Xenopus tropicalis: one gene and its partner. The protein of the gene in region 2 interacts with the protein of the main gene of each other region in a pairwise test. Links are inferred from orthologs where the notes say so. Each region holds a gene or a part of one and is shown on either strand. Other genes may lie near its edges.

Region 1 (8,631 bases), on a different chromosome or scaffold from region 2:
CCTGGCACATACAGAGCTGTCCATAAAAGGGCCACTGTCGGGGATCTGTGGCCCTCTGGATCTGTATAATCCCCACAGAAGGGCCTCACATCCATACCCATTATAAAGGCATTTAAAAATCCCAGCTGTCAATCATATATTGGCTGCCCCACCTCTATGTCTTAGACAGTTACTTTCACTTTCCATTCAGCACTGCCTAGATGTCACTGCCCTCCTCACACTTCCCCCTTCTTCTCACCATCTTATTGTGTAGCCAATTCTTGGGGATCAGGCCCCCCCCCCCCCCCATTCTGGCATATAAACAAGATTTTGGCATGATATAAAGCTTTCCTTACTAACAAAATGGCGCCTCCCTGCAGGCCGTAGTTGTGTAATTCCAAGACCGAAGGAAACAAGATGTATATAAATTATATAGCGTAAGTGATGTTTATTATACTTGACCAACCCAACAGAAAAGTATTTGGACAGGTCCCCTTTAATAGGTCATAACACACAAGCCGCATTCTCCACCAACTGAGAGCCCAAACTTGCCCATAAAACTTGTCCTTTTTTATAATAGAAACCGCCATTTAGCCACCAGGGGTCACTGTTACATTAGAGCCAGTGAAGAGTAATTATGGTATGAATACTTTGAGATATCCAACAGCATCAAATGAAACAAAAATGACGAAGTGAGCCCTCGGTAAAGGTAGTGAAATTTAGCTGGGAGCTACGGTTAATAGAAAAGGTTCTCATTATATCAAGAAACAGACCTTTGCTCAACAGAGGACATGCTCCCCCCTATGAACTTTGGTATATCCTATAATTTCAGAGGCAGTGTGACTTGAAAAAAATGGCTTCCCTCTACCTTGAAGAATGGAATATTCTGATCTTATAAAAATAGAGTGACTCATAAGTGACTGACAAAATGGCTTCCCCCAATCAGATCCTGATCTTAAAGAAAGGGAGAAAACATGGCTACCACCACCATCCCATTTGGTGGAGTGAATAAAAATAGCTTCCCCCACCGAGAAGTTTGGAACATCCCCATCATTCAGAAAGGAGCGACTGAAAAATGTGCTTCCCCCCATCATAACGTTTGGCAGATCCTGATCTTTAAGAAAGGGAGTGGCCGAAAAACTGGCTCCCGCCACCATTAAATTTGGTACATCCCGATCTTTCATCTTTCGGAAGGGGAGTGACTAAATATGTCTTCCCTCCACAAAATAATGACAAAAAAAAGCCTCCCCCACCATGACGTTTGGTACATCCTGATCTTATAGAAATCGAGTGACTGAATAAATAGAGTTACTGAATAAAGGGCCCCGCCCCCCCATTTTTTCAAGACTGAAAAAATGGCTTCCCCCATAAGGTCCCGATCTTTAAGAAAGGGAGGGACCGAAAACATGGCTCCCCCCACAATTAAATTTGGTATATCTTTCAGAAAGGAGCGACCAAAAATTGGCTCCCACCATGAAATTTGGTACATTCTGTTTCAGAAATGTCCCTCCCATGAAATGTGGTATATCTTTCGGAAAGGGGAGTGACTAAATATGTCTTCCCTCCTCAAAATAATGACAAAAAAAAGCCTCCCCCCACCATGACGTTTGGTACATCCTGATCTTTCAGAAGGTGAGTGACTGAAGCAAGTAGCTCCCCCCTTCCACTATAACATTTGGTACATCCTGATCTTTCAGAAGGTGAGTGACTGAAGCAAGTAGCTCCTCCCTTCCACTATAACATTTGGTACATCCTGATCTTTCAGAAGGTGAGTGACTGAAGCAAGTAGCTCCCCCCTTCCACTATAACATTTGGTACATCCTGATCTTTCAGAAGGTGAGTGACTGAAGCAAGTAGCTCCCCCCTTCCACTATAACATTTGGTACATCCTGATCTTTCAGAAGGTGAGTGACTGAAGCAAGTAGCTCCCCCCTTCCACTATAACATTTGGTACATCCTGATCTTTCAGAAGGTGAGTGACTGAAGCAAGTAGCTCCCCCCTTCCGCTATAACATTTGGTACAACCTGATCTTTCAGAAGGTGAGTGACTGAAGCAAGTAGCTCCCCCCTTCCACTATAACATTTGGTACATCCTGATCTTTCAGAAGGTGAGTGACTGAAGCAAGTAGCTCCCCCCTTCCACTATAACATTTGGTACATCCTGATCTTTCAGAAGGTGAGTGACTGAAGCAAGTAGCTCCCCCCTTCCACTATAACATTTGGTACATCCTGATCTTTCAGAAGGTGAGTGACTGAAGCAAGTAGCTCCCCCCTTCCACTATAACATTTGGTACATCCTGATCATTTAGAAAGGGAATCTGGGAGTGGCTTAATAAAAAATGGCTTCCCGTGCAGTTCAGCATATTCCGTCCTTTCACCATGGGACTTAAAATATGGCTGCCCCACGCATTTCCTGTTCTACTGGAAAGGAAGTGACAACTGCACAGATATAAAATGAATCTAAAGGTTAAGTTGACCTTTAAATCCGCACATATATAGGCCAGTATTATGTTATAAACTCAGTCAAGTGCCGATAACTACCACTCCCAGCATCCTCTGTCCCCCAACTGTTGCTCTTCATAAAATCAGCTGTAACATCCCATAGCAACTAATTAGCAGTCACCTCTGATTGGTCCATATATTTTATTTATTATCCTTCGACTCACAGGTAGTCCCGGAATACTTTGGGGGTGGCATTGGCCCCTGAATTTCTATTTCTACAGTCCTGGACTGAGTGGGACTTTTCCCTTTACAAATAAAAAAACATGTCTCCATCCAATCAATTCTTTTCAATCAAGGGGATTATCCTGATAGGGGAATTTATTCTCCATTTGATTAATACACAGGGATGAGGCCGGAGTGGATTAGGGCAATATTAACTGTAATCGCCGCCAGTTCCGACTACTGGGGAATTGTACTAAATGCACTGGAACGTAGGGAAATATCCCACAGGCTGCGCCGAGGCACGGACTGACCCCGAGAGCTGCAGATAAAGCAGATGTTATGGGGGGTGGGGGAGCAGCTTAGCCGGGGACACGTCTGATTGGGGATTCTATCTATTCCATTGCTGTTATGGGAGCTTTAAATGAGAACATGTTTATCACTTGGGTGGGATAAGGGGGTCCGCTCCTCCCACCTGTAGTATAGGAAGAACTAATAAGTATAATTCACAGATAGCAGGGCAGGCAGTAACCCTTCCAACACTTTCCCCTGTCTCTGCCCCTATATATTAGGTACCTACCTAGTGCTACCAACCCCTATTTCTGTAGGGAAATGAGAGCAGGGCAGGCAGTAACCCTTCCAACACTTTCCCCTGTCTCTGCCCCTATATATTAGGTACCTACCTAGTGCTACCAACCCCTATTTCTGTAGGGGAATGAGAGCAGAGCAGGCAGTAACCCTTCCAACACTTTCCCCTGTCTCTGCCCCTATATATTAGGTACCTACCTAGTGCTACCAACCCCTATTTCTGTAGGGGAATGAGAGCAGAGCAGGCAGTAACCCTTCCAACACTTTCCCCTTCCCTACATTCCTGCTGCATTATAGTGGCCCCTAGCAGTGCTCTTGCGCTCAGTCGGAGCGTTTGATTTCCTGTCGCTCGGCATTACACGGTTTCCTAATACCCACTGCCTGAGGCCGCAGGGGATAGAGATAATCAATGCGCTGCCTTCGCGTATCGCGGGCTAGAACGCCGCCAGGAGAGGGCAGGCAGAGGTTTTTTGACAGAAGAGTTTACGTTCCTCCACGTGCCGTAAGGAATATCGATTCTATGTACAGTAGAACCCCCATTTTACGTCCCTGAATGCGTTTTTCACTGATTTAAGTTTTTGGGAATTTACGGAATTTTGACGCGACCCCTGAAAAACGTCTGGGTAAATGCACAGCAATGAGAGCAGAATAAATGCTGGGGATGCTGGGAAATGTAGTCCTAATATCACCATTTAGTGTATTGTAGTAGCATTAACTGTATATAACATGCACTCATTAATCTCATACATATATCTTTTTTCAATGGGGGTATCCAGATTCCCCCAGTAATTGCTGAACTCCCGCTGTACTATTCCAATGCCTGGGAGTTGTAGTTCAGCCGTGCAGCCTATCCTATATGCCCTTAATGCTGTATTACAGGTTTAGCTATGCTGCCTTCCCATAAGGTCAGGGTGGGGGAAGTACAATTATCAGTATTGGATGTACAGCAGTGCAACTTTCCCTTTAAAAGGGGTAGATGTGGGGTTAGTTACCCCCTTCCCCATGTAATGGGAATCGAACCGTTGCCACCGGGCGGAGATGGCACAGTGAAGGGAAGGGTGGATATCCTTACTATGTTTTACTGGCCCAGGGAGCTGGGGGTTAAATGCAGCACTAACCCTTTGAATGCCAGGGGCTGAGCCAATAATCTGGGGGTTTAACATTATCCGGCACACCCCTCCGGCACTGTTTCAGCTACTGGCTTACTGGGGTGGGGGCTGCTACTTCCGCAAGGGTTTGGGAACTAATTAGCCATTGGGGGGGGGGGGGTTAAAGTCATTCACAAGTCAGGGGAAAAGCAGCTGAAGTTCTGAAGATCCAAATCCCACCCAGAACCGCTGGCCGATTCCGGCACGGTGCCTGCTGGATGCCGGCTGTGCTGCCCCGCTGAATGGGCAGATCCAATGGGGAGCTACGGGCAGGAATGTGGATGGGTGTGGGCATGGACCCCAGCTGCATACTCTAAGGATCTGTCCAACAAAGTCTTTTCCATCAATCCAGCAAGCAGGGATGGGGAGAGTGGGGCTCCTGAGTCTGGGGCCCCTGAGTAAGGGAGGGGCAGTGAGTGGAATACAGCTGTTGGTGGGGCCCCCCCAGATGCCCTTTCTGCCCTACCCTAAACTATCCCTGCACAAACTTCAGCTGCCGGAATCCCATCCCGGGATAAGTAGTGACAGCCATGCAACTGGTCTATTTGTAAGGACTTCCAGCTGTTGGGCACAGCAACTACTCCCTGCAGCCACTCCCTTCCTGTGAGTCCCACATCCTATCCACCCCCCCCCCCACCCCAAAAACACAATCACACCCATCATGTCTTACCGTATCCTTCAGCTCAAGCCTTAGACTCTGGTCCTGGGTACCCCAGATGGATGGCAAAGCTCCTGTGGCCCCCCTAGAGCCCCTTCTGTGCCACTGTCTCCACTCAGTGCCCAGGGATGGGGTGCCTTGCGCCCGACTGCCACTTAGTCCCTGTGTGGATGTGACTCAGCTGACAGCCAGGCTCCGCTTCCCTCTATGAGCAGAGAATTTCCCTTCCCCTTCACAGACCCAACTGATTCCAATGCTTTCTCACTCCACCCTTTGTACTGAGTGATGTCAGAGAGAGAGTGTGTGCGAGTGTGCGAGAGAGTGTGTGAGTGTGCGAGAGCGCCCCTGAGCTCTGTATTATTCAGCACACGGAGAGAATGAATAGCAGCATCTACACAGAGGAAGTGTGTAATTTGGAGGGGGGGGGGTGTTTGCTTGGTTTGTCCGGCGTAAATAAATTGATGGAATGCTGCATGAGTCGGAACTTTCACTGTAGGGAATATTCTACTGCCAGCTGCTGGGTTACTGGGTGCCATCTGGCCATCTCCAGCCTATACACGGTGTGCTACTGGCATGTAAGTGCTCAGGGGCCGGCACCTACTACTATCCAACAGATTCACATACTGATTATACATTATCCCTGCCCCAGTGAGCTTACAATCTAAGGTCCCTATCACATTCCCATCAGTCCCTGCCCCAGTGAGCTTACAATCTAAGGTCCCTATCACATTCCCATCAGTCCCTGCCCCAGTGAGCTTACAATCTAAGGTCCCTATCCCAGTGAGCTTACAATCTAAGGTCCCTATCACATTCCCATCAGTCCCTGCCCCAGTGAGCTTACAATCTAAGGTCCCTATCACATTCCCATCAGTCCCTGCCCCAGTGAGCTTACAATCTAAGGTCCCTATCCCAGTGAGCTTACAATCTAAGGTCCCTATCACATTCCCATCAGTCCCTGCCCCAGTGAGCTTACAATCTAAGGTCCCTATCACATTCCCATCAGTCCCTGCCCCAGTGAGCTTACAATCTAAGGTCCCTATCCCATTCCCATCAGTCCCTGCCCCAGTGAGCTTACAATCTAAGGTCCCTATCACATTCCCATCAGCCCCTGCCCCAGTGAGCTTACAATCTAAGGTCCCTATCACATTCCCATCAGTCCCTGCCCCAGTGAACTTACAATCTAAGGTCCCTATCACATTCCCATCAGTCCCTGCCCCAGTGAGCTTACAATGTAAGGTCCCTATCCCATTCCCATCAGTCCCTGCCCCAGTGAGCTTACAATCTAAGGTCCCTATCACATTCCCTTCAGTCCCTGCCCCAGTGAGCTTACAATCTAAGGTCCCTATCACATTCCCATCAGTCCCTGCCCCAGTGAGCTTACAATCTAAGGTCCCTATCCCAGTGAGCTTACAATCTAAGGTCCCTATCACATTCCCATCAGTCCCTGCCCCAGTGAGCTTACAATCTAAGGTCCCTATCCCATTCCCATCAGTCCCTGCCCCAGTGAGCTTACAATCTAAGGTCCCTATCACATTCCCATCAGCCCCTGCCCCAGTGAGCTTACAATCTAAGGTCCCTATCCCATTCCCATCAGTCCCTGCCCCAGTGAGCTTACAATCTAAGGTCCCTATCCCATCAGCCCCTGCCCCAGTGAGCTTACAATCTAAGGTCCCTATCACATTCCCATCAGTCCCTGCCCCAGTGAAGCTTACAATCTAAGGTCCCTATCCCATTCCCATCAGTCCCTGCCCCAGTGAGCTTACAATCTAAGGTCCCTATCCCATTCCCATCAGTCCCTGCCCCAGTGAGCTTACAATCTAAGGTCCCTATCACAGTCACAAACAGACAGTCAATGATGAGGAGCCAATTAACCCAGAGAAGTCCATCACATACGTGGGGGTAATATACAAACTCCTTGCATAGGGCCCTGTCTGAAATTGAACTCAGCACAGCTGCATCATATTATTATTATTAACATTTATTTATAAAGCGCCAACATATCCCGCAGCGCTGTACAATAAGTGGGTTCCATACATTGGACATACAGAGTAACATATAAGGTAATCAGTAACCGATACAGGAGGGGAAGAGAGCCCTGCCCAAAAGAGCTTACAATCTACAAGATCATAGTAAGATTAACTTCCCCTTTAATATTTGCTTCTGTATTGGGAGAAAAAAAAAGGTTAAAAGTGCTTGTTTGTATACCCCGGCTATCCCAAACTACCCTGCCCAATTTTTACCTCGGGGGTTCAGGCACACTAACCAGGAGCTATTCTCTGCACTGCTGGTTCTGACTACATGTACTGTTGAGACAATTCCGCAGTAGTCAGCTCTCCTTCAGCCTGTTCTGTGATGAACAAAAGTGTGCAAGGCATTATGGGAATTGGAGCGGTACAGGCAGTCGGGACCAGCAGTGCAGATAATACTAGGAAAGGGCAGACAGATGCCGCTCCTAATAGCAATTACATTTGCACCTAATCCCTCCTGTTACTACGCTACAGCCGCATTATTCGCTATTTCATTACAGAAACTAATAGAGGGAAATGAAATGCATTTTTGCCAATTACCTTCTCAGGCTGCACAGATCTCCTTCCCTGGGATTTAATAACCTTTTCTAATTCACGTGCAGCAAAGAAATATTCATATTTATTATCTTATTAGAGGAAGAGACGCCTTATCTGTTTAGCCCTTTCTGGTTCTGACTGTAGAAACAATGTAGCAGAAGTCCCCCCCCCACCCTCCTCACACACAGGGTATCAGAGCTCCAATCTAACGAAATGCTGGGTGTAGGGAGGATCCTGGCAGATCAGATACTATCTAATGCAACTGCTTAAGCTTTGGGATGGGATAAAGATCAGGTTTTGTACTGGCGCCACCTACAGGAAGGTTACTGTAATAACAGTCACTGATAGTCCAGCTCTGACTGAAATTTTGCTTGTAATAAGTTACTATTATTGTAATGTAAAGTAAAGTACCTACCCCAGATACCCAGGGAACCCACTGTACCTACTGCCCTGGGAGGGACTGCACAGGAAGTACTTACCCCAGATACCCAGGGAACCCACTGTACCTACTGCCCTGGGAGGGACTGCACAGGAAGTACTTACCCCAGATACCCAGGGAACCCACTGTACCTACTGCCCTGGGAGGGACTGCACAGGAAGTACTTACCCCAGATACCCAGGGAACCCACTGTACCTACTGCCCTGGGAGGGACTGCACAGGAAGTACTTACCCCAGATACCCAGGGAACCCACTGTACCTACTGCCCTGGGAGGGACTGCACAGGAAGTACTTACCCCAGATACCCAGGGAACCCACTGTACCTACTGCCCTGGGAGGGACTGCACAGGAAGTACTTACCCCAGATACCCAGGGAACCCACTGTACCTACTGCCCTGGGAGGGACTGCACAGGAAGTACTTACCCAGGGAACCCACTGTACCTACTGCCCTGGGAGGAAGTGACTGTGTATCCCCCCCCCTCCTACCTGCACAGGAAGTACCTACCCCAGATACCCAGGGAACCCACTGTACCTACTGCCCTGGGAGGGACTGCACAGGAAGTACTTACCCCAGATACCCAGGGAACCCACTG
Region 2 (8,670 bases):
TTTTTTGAGGAACACAAGTGCCTTGAGGTATAAGAACAACTACTTTATCTGCCAAGTGTGACCTAATTCTTTACATGCTATTATTACCTTTCATTTTAAACTGCAAGGGACTCCATAAGGCATGTATACAAACTACAAATCTTCTGTAAAAGTCAAGCACAAAAACAGCAGCACTACTCAGAATAACTTAAGAGGTGCAAACCCATAACTTTTATTTATGGGTTTCTGTGTGTGCAAAAATAAGTTATGAGGTTGCTCTTAAGCCATTCCAATGACTCCATAAGCCAGGACAAACACATCCCACTCTAACTCATCAGTCGTTTGTTATGCCACTGTTTGGTTTCAACTTCCAGAGTTACCTAGTATGCAAAGTTTAAAAAGTGAATTTTGAGAAAAATATCCATCAGGGAGCAGCAGAAAAATATAATTTGATGAAAATGTGTATTTTGCTGTGGTGTAACTATAAGCAGAACCATCATCTGCTTGTGGTCTCTAGAGGTATAGGTGGTGGAATGGGGCACTGACTTGTTAAAATGTATTTATGAGTTATGTCTTACTCCCAAAGCTTAGAAACCTAGATTTATATTGCTGAGAGGCACAGTAACTTCTACCACTTATGCCACCTTTAGGGTAATGGCCTACAGGGAGATTAATCACCCTCAGTTAAATCTTGGCTTCCATGGGTGACTAATCTCCCCGAAATGCCTTTCCACTGCAATAAAGTGGAAAGTAAATATAATTAATCGCCGGTGGGAAGGCATACACACCACTTTCCAAAGTAGTACGGTTTCCGTACTGGAAACGAAGCGACACGTATGCCTTTTCACTAGCGATTCACTTTATTGCCAGTGATTAACTGCAGGCAACTAATCTCCCCATTGGCCTTTAAACTTACAAGTAAAGGTGGCCATACACATTACAATAACATACTCTGCCTGCCCTATGCTGCCTGTGTGTGCCAAACTCTGCCTTCCCTACCCTGCCTGTATGCCATACTCTGCCTGCCCTACCCTGCCTGTGTGTGCCATACTCTGCCTGCCCTTTGCTGCCTGTGTGCCATACTCTACCTGCCCTACCCTGCCTGTGTGTGCCATACTCTACCTGCCCTATGCTGCCTGTGTGCCATAATCTGCCTGCCCTATGCTGCCTGTGTGCCATACTCTGCCTGCCCTACCCTGCCTGTGTGTGTCATACTCTGCCTGCCCTATGCTGCCCGTGTGTATGGCAAGGGCATGGGCATGTCCAGTTTGCTCCAACAAAAGATATTATAGTTATTTGCTATTAGTATCTAATACCATGGGTGACTAATCGTAAATCGCAGGTGAGAAGGCATACGTGTCGCTTTCCAATTGAATGGGGTTTCCTCCTGCAGGAAACTTTGTGCGACGTCTGAAAACAAAGCAATACATTTGCCTTTCTACTGGCGATTCACTTTATTGCTAGTGATTAACTGCAGGCAACTAATCTCCCCATTGGGCCATTAAACTTAGAAAAAAGGTGTCCACAACAATTAGTCACAGGAAAGATTGTTTGTCCACTCCACTAGTCAGACATGCAGGTAGAAACAATAGAATTCAATCTCTATTGACGATTCAGCATTAACTTACATCCAATGTTCGGGCGCCTGATAAAAATTTTCAGACCTGTCTGATCGGCAAGATAACAGATATCCAAGGCTTTTGCCGATATCGGTCTCCTCATCAACCCACCATACGTGCACCAAATATTTGCAAAACCGTGTTTCGTATGATAATATTAGTGTATCGGCACCTTAATCCCCTGTCTATGGGTATGTCCAGTTTGCTCCAGCAGAAGCCTTTAATGTTATTTGTTATTAGTATCCATTAGAAATAGACAGATGCTATCATATTGCATTTGCTGGGAGAACTACCCAAAACATTAGTTTTTACAATTACATTAAATCAAAATGTTTTTAACTTTGTTCTGATAGATCAGGGGTGGGCAAACTACGGCCCGCGGGCCACATCCGGCCCGTCAGCCCTTTTAATCCGGCCCGCCGTCTCCGCCCCCCTTAAAAGAATGAAGGGCTCTGATTGGTTGTGCCCCATGCGTGCGCACAGCGTCAGCACGCACAGGGCGCAACCATATAAAAGAATGCACTGGGGAGCCGGGGAACAGAAGGACGGGATGGAGGAAGCAGTGGGTCGCTGGGGAGGAGCTGAGAGGCCCCATAATTTTTTATGGCAGCCCCGGGCGTAACGCTGTCCCGGCCCGGTCCGGCCCGTATGTTAATTAATGTGGCCCCTGAGCTAAAAAGTTTGCCCACCCCTGTGATAGATTATTATAAGCACTGTGTAGATCAGGGATCCTTAAACCATATGTTGGGACCCTAAAATAGATCCCCACACTGTTTAGGGTAGAGCTCCATGATCCCCTTTAAGCCAGTGAGATGTTTTCCTACAACAGAAGTTAAGACTTATGTACAGTAACATTACTAATTCTATGGCAGTTCTCTAATTTCTTCCCTCAGTATTAAGCAGTTAAAAAAGAAGTGTTTTCACTAAATTCATTGGTGGTGTACTCTAGTGCATTCTAAGGGCTCTTACACATTAGCATTTTATCTGGCACTCTCCTGTGGTAGATTTCTCCTGCGCTCCTCCACAGTGGAGTGCAAGACGAAAAGCAGAAAAAAAAGAAAAGAAAGAAAAGACACAGGCGCATCCAAGCTTCAAACGCAGGTTGAACACATCACGTTGTGTTCCACCAGCGTTGGTGCTTTGATATGCCTGTGTCTGTACGTCTGATAAAGATAGCTGCGTCCTGCGCATCCCTGTGGTGAAATACAGGAGAAATCCACAACCTGAACATACCCAACATAAATAAATCTTACCCTTCTATTCATTTAATCATACACAGATATATTTCCTGTATTTAAACTCTATCAGCTATGCTTTGCCCATAATGGCAATATTGTGACATTACAATGGACCAAAAAGCACCACTACCTTAAAGGACAAGGAAAGGCAAAGTCACTTGGGGGTGCCAAAATGTTAGGCACCCCCAAGTGAATTAAACCTTTTAGGAACAGCACCAGCCCGGGGTAGCTGCAGCGCTTCCTCCTTCCTGTTTCGCGCGCATGCGCAGTAGAGTGAATAGTGGAACTTTAACAGAGAAGTCGGCTTTTTACTCTACTGCGCATGCACCGGTCGTGGGGTCCCGGCAAAACGAAGCAGGAAGCGCTCGCTACAGGTACCCCGGGCTGGTGCTGTTTTTTCCTAACAGGGGCACCAGCCCGGGGTACAAGGTAAGTGATTAAAGTCACTTGGGGGTGCCTAACATTTTGGCACCCCCAAGTGACTTAGCCTTTCCTTGTCCTTTAATATAAGGCAAAGCAAACTTTGACGTTAGTTTAAACCTGTGTTTTTAGTTTTCTCCACCATATGATTGTCACCTAGACAGTAAAAACAGGTCACAAATGGTGGCAACCCTACTTCGTGACCTCAGAACCAACAACATTCTTCATCTATGAGAAATAGGGTTGCCACCTCACCCCATTAATATCGACCACATATTTAGGGTATTTATGTTATTTATTAAAAAACTTCACAAGAAAAGATTAACATAGGTGAAGACACGCTGTTAGTGCTACTAGTAGCAGCTAATTGACATGGCTACTAAAACAGACAACACTGATTATTTACTGATAATTGTCTCTACCTGTGTTTTAGCAGAGGCAATTTTCAGTATTGTCTATGGCAGGGTATTTTCTGGCGTTTAGTAACCATGAAAAAGTAGCTGTTACTAGTTGCTCTGTGTGTCTTCACCCTTAATTCACATCCTGCATGGCTAATTAGCAATTAATTTAAATGCATGCTGCAGGCTAAACTGATTTATGTGCTGCTGTGTACTATGAACTAAATTAATTGCTAACTAGCCATGCTGGATGAGTATTAAATATGTGGCCTGTATTTAAGGGGTGAGGTGGCATCCCTAATCAAAAATAGCTGCTTCTCACACAAGTGTGTGCGCCTTTAGCTAGGATTTTTCTATAGACAAAACTCTCATCTTAGCACAAAGTTTTCACAGTAGCATAGTACTGCATTTCACCAAAACATTTTTTAAATAGTCTAAAAATGTAAATTTTGAATACCCTGGAAAAGTTTACTAATGGCACTGCACCCTTTCCAAAAGCCCAATTTTCCAATTCTAGTCTTTAAGGAGACTTTAGGTACTAATCACCTTGAGTTTGTATGTGTATTTATATGCCATTTCAGAGGTTTTTGATTGTTTCAGTTGTTTACTCCTATGTCTGGCTTCTAAAAAGTTACTACTTAGATGTTTTAATTAGAAGTTTTTCAATGATGAGTCTCCTCTACCCTTTGTAGGCATAGTGACATATCACAAGCCTAAAATTAATAGAAGTGCATAAATATAGATACAGTATTATGTGATGTACAGATTTCTTTATTTTACTCGTATAAAGGTAAAAGTATAATGTGGGTCACAAATCATTCCCTCACCCAATACAATATATTGTATATATATATTCATTAGCCAGATGCAAGGGATCACCATCACAAAGGGCACGTCACCTCTTCCCATATCCACTTATTAAAGATTCTGCTATGCTGACATTTTTCAAACCTACACTAAAAACCACTGTGCCGTTTGCTGCTTCTTTTCCAGTAATATAGGGATTAGCATGTATTTATCTTGTGGGAGTTTAATGCAACTAAATGTGCAACTAACAGTTAGGAGGAGGGGAAGCATAGACACATGACTATAACACACATTTTTTTCCAGAGTGGTGACAGAGACCCAATGAAGTTCTGTTGTAGCTACAAGCAGCAACAGCAAAACTAATAAATAGTCACAAGTAGTATAGTAACAAGTATAGTCCACTATAACATTATCCACTCAGTTAGATTTATTAATGGATCAGAAGTCCTCAGATGCCTAGAGATACTAGGCAAGGTATCTGCCTACGCAGTTGTGAGGCAATACATGTAAATATAGTCCTTGGTCTGTACTGCACAGTCCTACAAGTCTGTTTTGATTCCCAACCACGTGACAAATTAAACATCTATTTTTGAAAAATGGAAAACCACACACGCTTGCCTCACTTATTTACGTTTGCAGTTCAATAATGTTAGCAGACCATGCGGAAAATTGGGGCTGCTTCTAGATAAGAAGGGTTGCACTGAATGCATTTCATTGAAATTCAATCAGTTTGCAACCCAACAATTTGAATTTATTAACTCTCCTTGAGTGTTTTCAAATGACTCAGTACAGTAATAGTAATTACAGACAGCCATGTACTGCACGTAGACACATATATACATACTTTGAGATGAGGACAGTTACAGAAACATATCAAAAGCAGCACCCTTTCTTTCTTACAAGCACAAATACTCCTGTCACATTGCCATAGTACAGAGAACAACCCCCTCAATACAAGCTTCCTGGTACCCTGCAATGCAGCACAGAATCACAGACATAACTCTCCCATGTTACCTGTGCGTGACAATGCCGTGTCGTAAGATTCTGTTTCTAGAGCCTTGAGGAGGTGGTGGTGTTCAGTGAACAGCTGAAACTGACTGCAGGCTAAAAGCATCCGGATTCATTGAGCAACCTGTGAGACACACCCGCTAACAAAATAATGCAGGCAGCTTTTCCAGCCACTTAATGCAGTTACTATAAGCAGCGAACAAGTCATTCTGCATTTAAAGAGAAAGCATACATTTCAGCATTGATTAGTTGGGCTTCTTGGGACAGATTTGTATGTTTTGTTATACATTGTGCTCATGCTAAAAATTAGCACTGTGCAGGGAAGTTTTAATAAATGGGCAAAAGGGGCAATTGCGCAGGGCCTACCAGGACTGGGGGCCTACAATCAGACTTTTCATCTGATGCACCCCCCAGTATTGTCAGGCCTCTCATTTTAATCAGCTGGAAGAGGTAAACATATTCCTGTATATTATTTTTAATAGAAGCTGTCATTCGTGATCACAGTTTATCTTTTCCCAACACTGTGGTATTGGCTACCAAGCCTCGACGTCATGTCTGTTTAAGTAAGCACAGATTTTTTCTGTATTTCCTGCCTTAATGTATTCAAATACTGAATATTCAAATACTTAGGCCTGAAGGCAGGCCTAACAGCAATGTATTAGATTAGTTGCAGGGGCCCACCAGTGAGCTCTTTGTTTTGGACCCATTGGTACCTTAAAGGACAATGAAAGGTTAATATAACTTAAAAGTAAGTCTAAAGGCATTCTTTTTAAGTACTTACTGCATATCTAAATTCCCAGATCCCTGCTTGCTTCTCTGAGATATGGTGCTGGCAGCCTACAGCAGACTACAGTGACATCACTAAAATCTCTCTGTCCTTCCTGTAGGCTGCCAGTGGCAGCCTTCCTATTCTCTGAGCATGTGTGTAACTTGATCCTGTCTCCTGTTCTGAGCTACACATGCCCACCAGCCAATCAGAAGCCGATCTGGCAGAGGGGATGGGGGGAGGGAATGAAACACATGTGCAGTATGAAGCAAGGAGGGAAAGGAAGGGAGAATACTTTTTTAGAGATGGCTGCCTGTTCTAGAAAATGTGAAGTAAGTGTGACTGAGTAAATATTTGATTAGGTGAGCCAAAAGTGTGGCATTTTTACTAAACAATAGGAGGACTATTGGGCAGTATGCTTTTTAAATTTTGACTTGCATTCTCCTTTAAAGCAGCCCTGACACTGAGTTGACTGTTATAGGGTCCTTGTAGATAGTAAGCTCTTTTGGGAAAGGCCCTCTTCACCTCTTGTATCGGTTATTGGTTGCTTTATATGCTACTCTGTATGTCCAATGTATGAAACCCACTTATTGTACAGCGGAATATATTGGCACTTTATATACAAATGTTAATAAATGTTAATAGGGAGGGCTATCTGTATTTATTTTATACAGATAAATTAAGGTGGAATTTGAGACTATATAGATAGACTATAGTGGGGGCAATTGCACCAGCAGCACCCCCCACCCCACCCCCAGCAACTGATCACATCATCAGATTTGAAAGGGGACACTGGCAACACAACTAAACCGAACTAGGGTGGCCCTAGCCGGAACTATTGGTAGGCAGAAGTGGCACCTGCCTAGAGCTCAACGTTTAGTGGGCCTCTGGCAGGAGCCTCTCTTGCCTACCCCTAGTCCACGCTCGCTTATCATTGCCCCGACCATTACGTGGTGTGGTGGGGGCAATGACTGCCCACACTCCAACCCCCCTGGTGCTGGGTTGCTTGGGCCCGGTCAGTGTGGCCCTAGCAATGCTTGTATGTAGCTATGTCTGCACAAGAATACAGGTTTTGATACCACTGAATACAACTCTAATTGGGCAGATGAAAGGGGCATATTGCAAAAATATGGAAGTCCATGGAGTTGAGCATAGAGCAAATATACTAAATAAATAAAATATTTATTTTAAAACACATTACTTTTGGTCTTTGGATAACAGGTCTTCACAATGTACTGCAAAAAAATTATTTAGGTATTGATTGTCCTTTAAAGGATGTTTTTGTACTTTCTAAGTAGTTTTATCTTTTGAGATTTTTCTGAGATTTGTATGACTGGCTAATGTTGGCCAGATTAGTTTTAGTTTTGTTGCTGTTGCTGAATGAGCAGATGACATTGTGGGCAATATGTGGGTGAGGCAGGACTGCAGGACTGTGCTGTGCAGTTATCTCTAGGCACATTAGGTAATTGTGTCTCTTGGATGACTGAATATTCTGCTTAGTTATGTCAGGAAAGGTTCATGTTTTGGCAAAAATTGATAGAGAAGCGGAGCACAGAAAAAACTTGAGAATAAAAACATAAATTTATTTCATCATTTAAAAATAGGTCAGAGCATATTCACCTCTTTAGCTTAACGCGTTTCGTGGTAACACCACTTCCTCAGAATTGGTCCCATGATACTCACATACCTTCCAACAGTTTGCTCTAAGCAGTGTATTTATCAGATGGTGAGTTCTAATTTTCACTCATTGATAAATACGCTTCTAAAAATCTAAAAAAAAAATCTAAAAAGATGAATAGACTGGGGGTGAGATTTGATATATTAAGTTCTAAACTCACATTTTGATAAATCTGCCCCTTGGTGTTTTTTGGGCACATTCTGGGTCCTTCTGGGTGCAGGCACAACTTTAAGCATAGCAGTGGTTTGTCAGCCTGTGCTAATTTGCAGGCTGGCAATCCACCCTGTGTGTCCTTGCCCTAAGATGTACTCTTGAGTCTGGAGCATCAGATGTAAGGAGGGCTTTCTGCCTGATTTTGTGGCAAGAACTGCAACTGAGATGGGATACAAATAAGATTTGGCAGTTCTTGGAAAGAACTTTAATGAGGAAAATAAAAAGTCTATACTGGAGCAAGAGAGTCCAGGTCATGATGTCATGCTGTCTTGCTCTGGGTGCTTTTTTTCTGTAGGTAAAGCAAAATGTTTATAACCATAATGTTTGCTGACATTCTTTAACCAGGAGCCATCTAGCAGTTGGTTATTGCAAATTCATACAGGGGCTTTTAAGCTGTGAAGGGGTATTTCAATCAGCTTAAATTGCTTGAAAAGTTCTCAGAGACCTACTTATAGCGTCTTGACCATCTAGGATATCTGTTTAACTCTCTGGATGCTTTTTTTGTTTACATTCCCTAGACCTTTGTTTACAAAAAATATAGATG

What was found.
Region 1: the proteins of pld1 (region 2) and pea15 interact in a two-hybrid assay, tested with the Homo sapiens proteins (2 studies listed by BioGRID). The link is inferred for Xenopus tropicalis from reciprocal best matches to the Homo sapiens genes PLD1 and PEA15.

Annotation. Positions count from the first base shown.
Region 1 is NC_030684.2:138,136,515-138,145,145, reverse strand, and holds the start of pea15 (astrocytic phosphoprotein PEA-15), read right to left. Parts: upstream 5,265-8,631; 5' UTR 5,047-5,264; intron 1-5,046. UniProt on the Homo sapiens protein: Blocks Ras-mediated inhibition of integrin activation and modulates the ERK MAP kinase cascade. Inhibits RPS6KA3 activities by retaining it in the cytoplasm. Inhibits both TNFRSF6- and TNFRSF1A-mediated CASP8 activity and apoptosis.
Region 2 is NC_030681.2:111,352,556-111,361,225, reverse strand, and holds the start of pld1 (phospholipase D1), read right to left. Parts: upstream 5,589-8,670; 5' UTR 5,576-5,588; coding exon 5,476-5,575; intron 1-5,475. UniProt on the Homo sapiens protein: Function as phospholipase selective for phosphatidylcholine. Implicated as a critical step in numerous cellular pathways, including signal transduction, membrane trafficking, and the regulation of mitosis.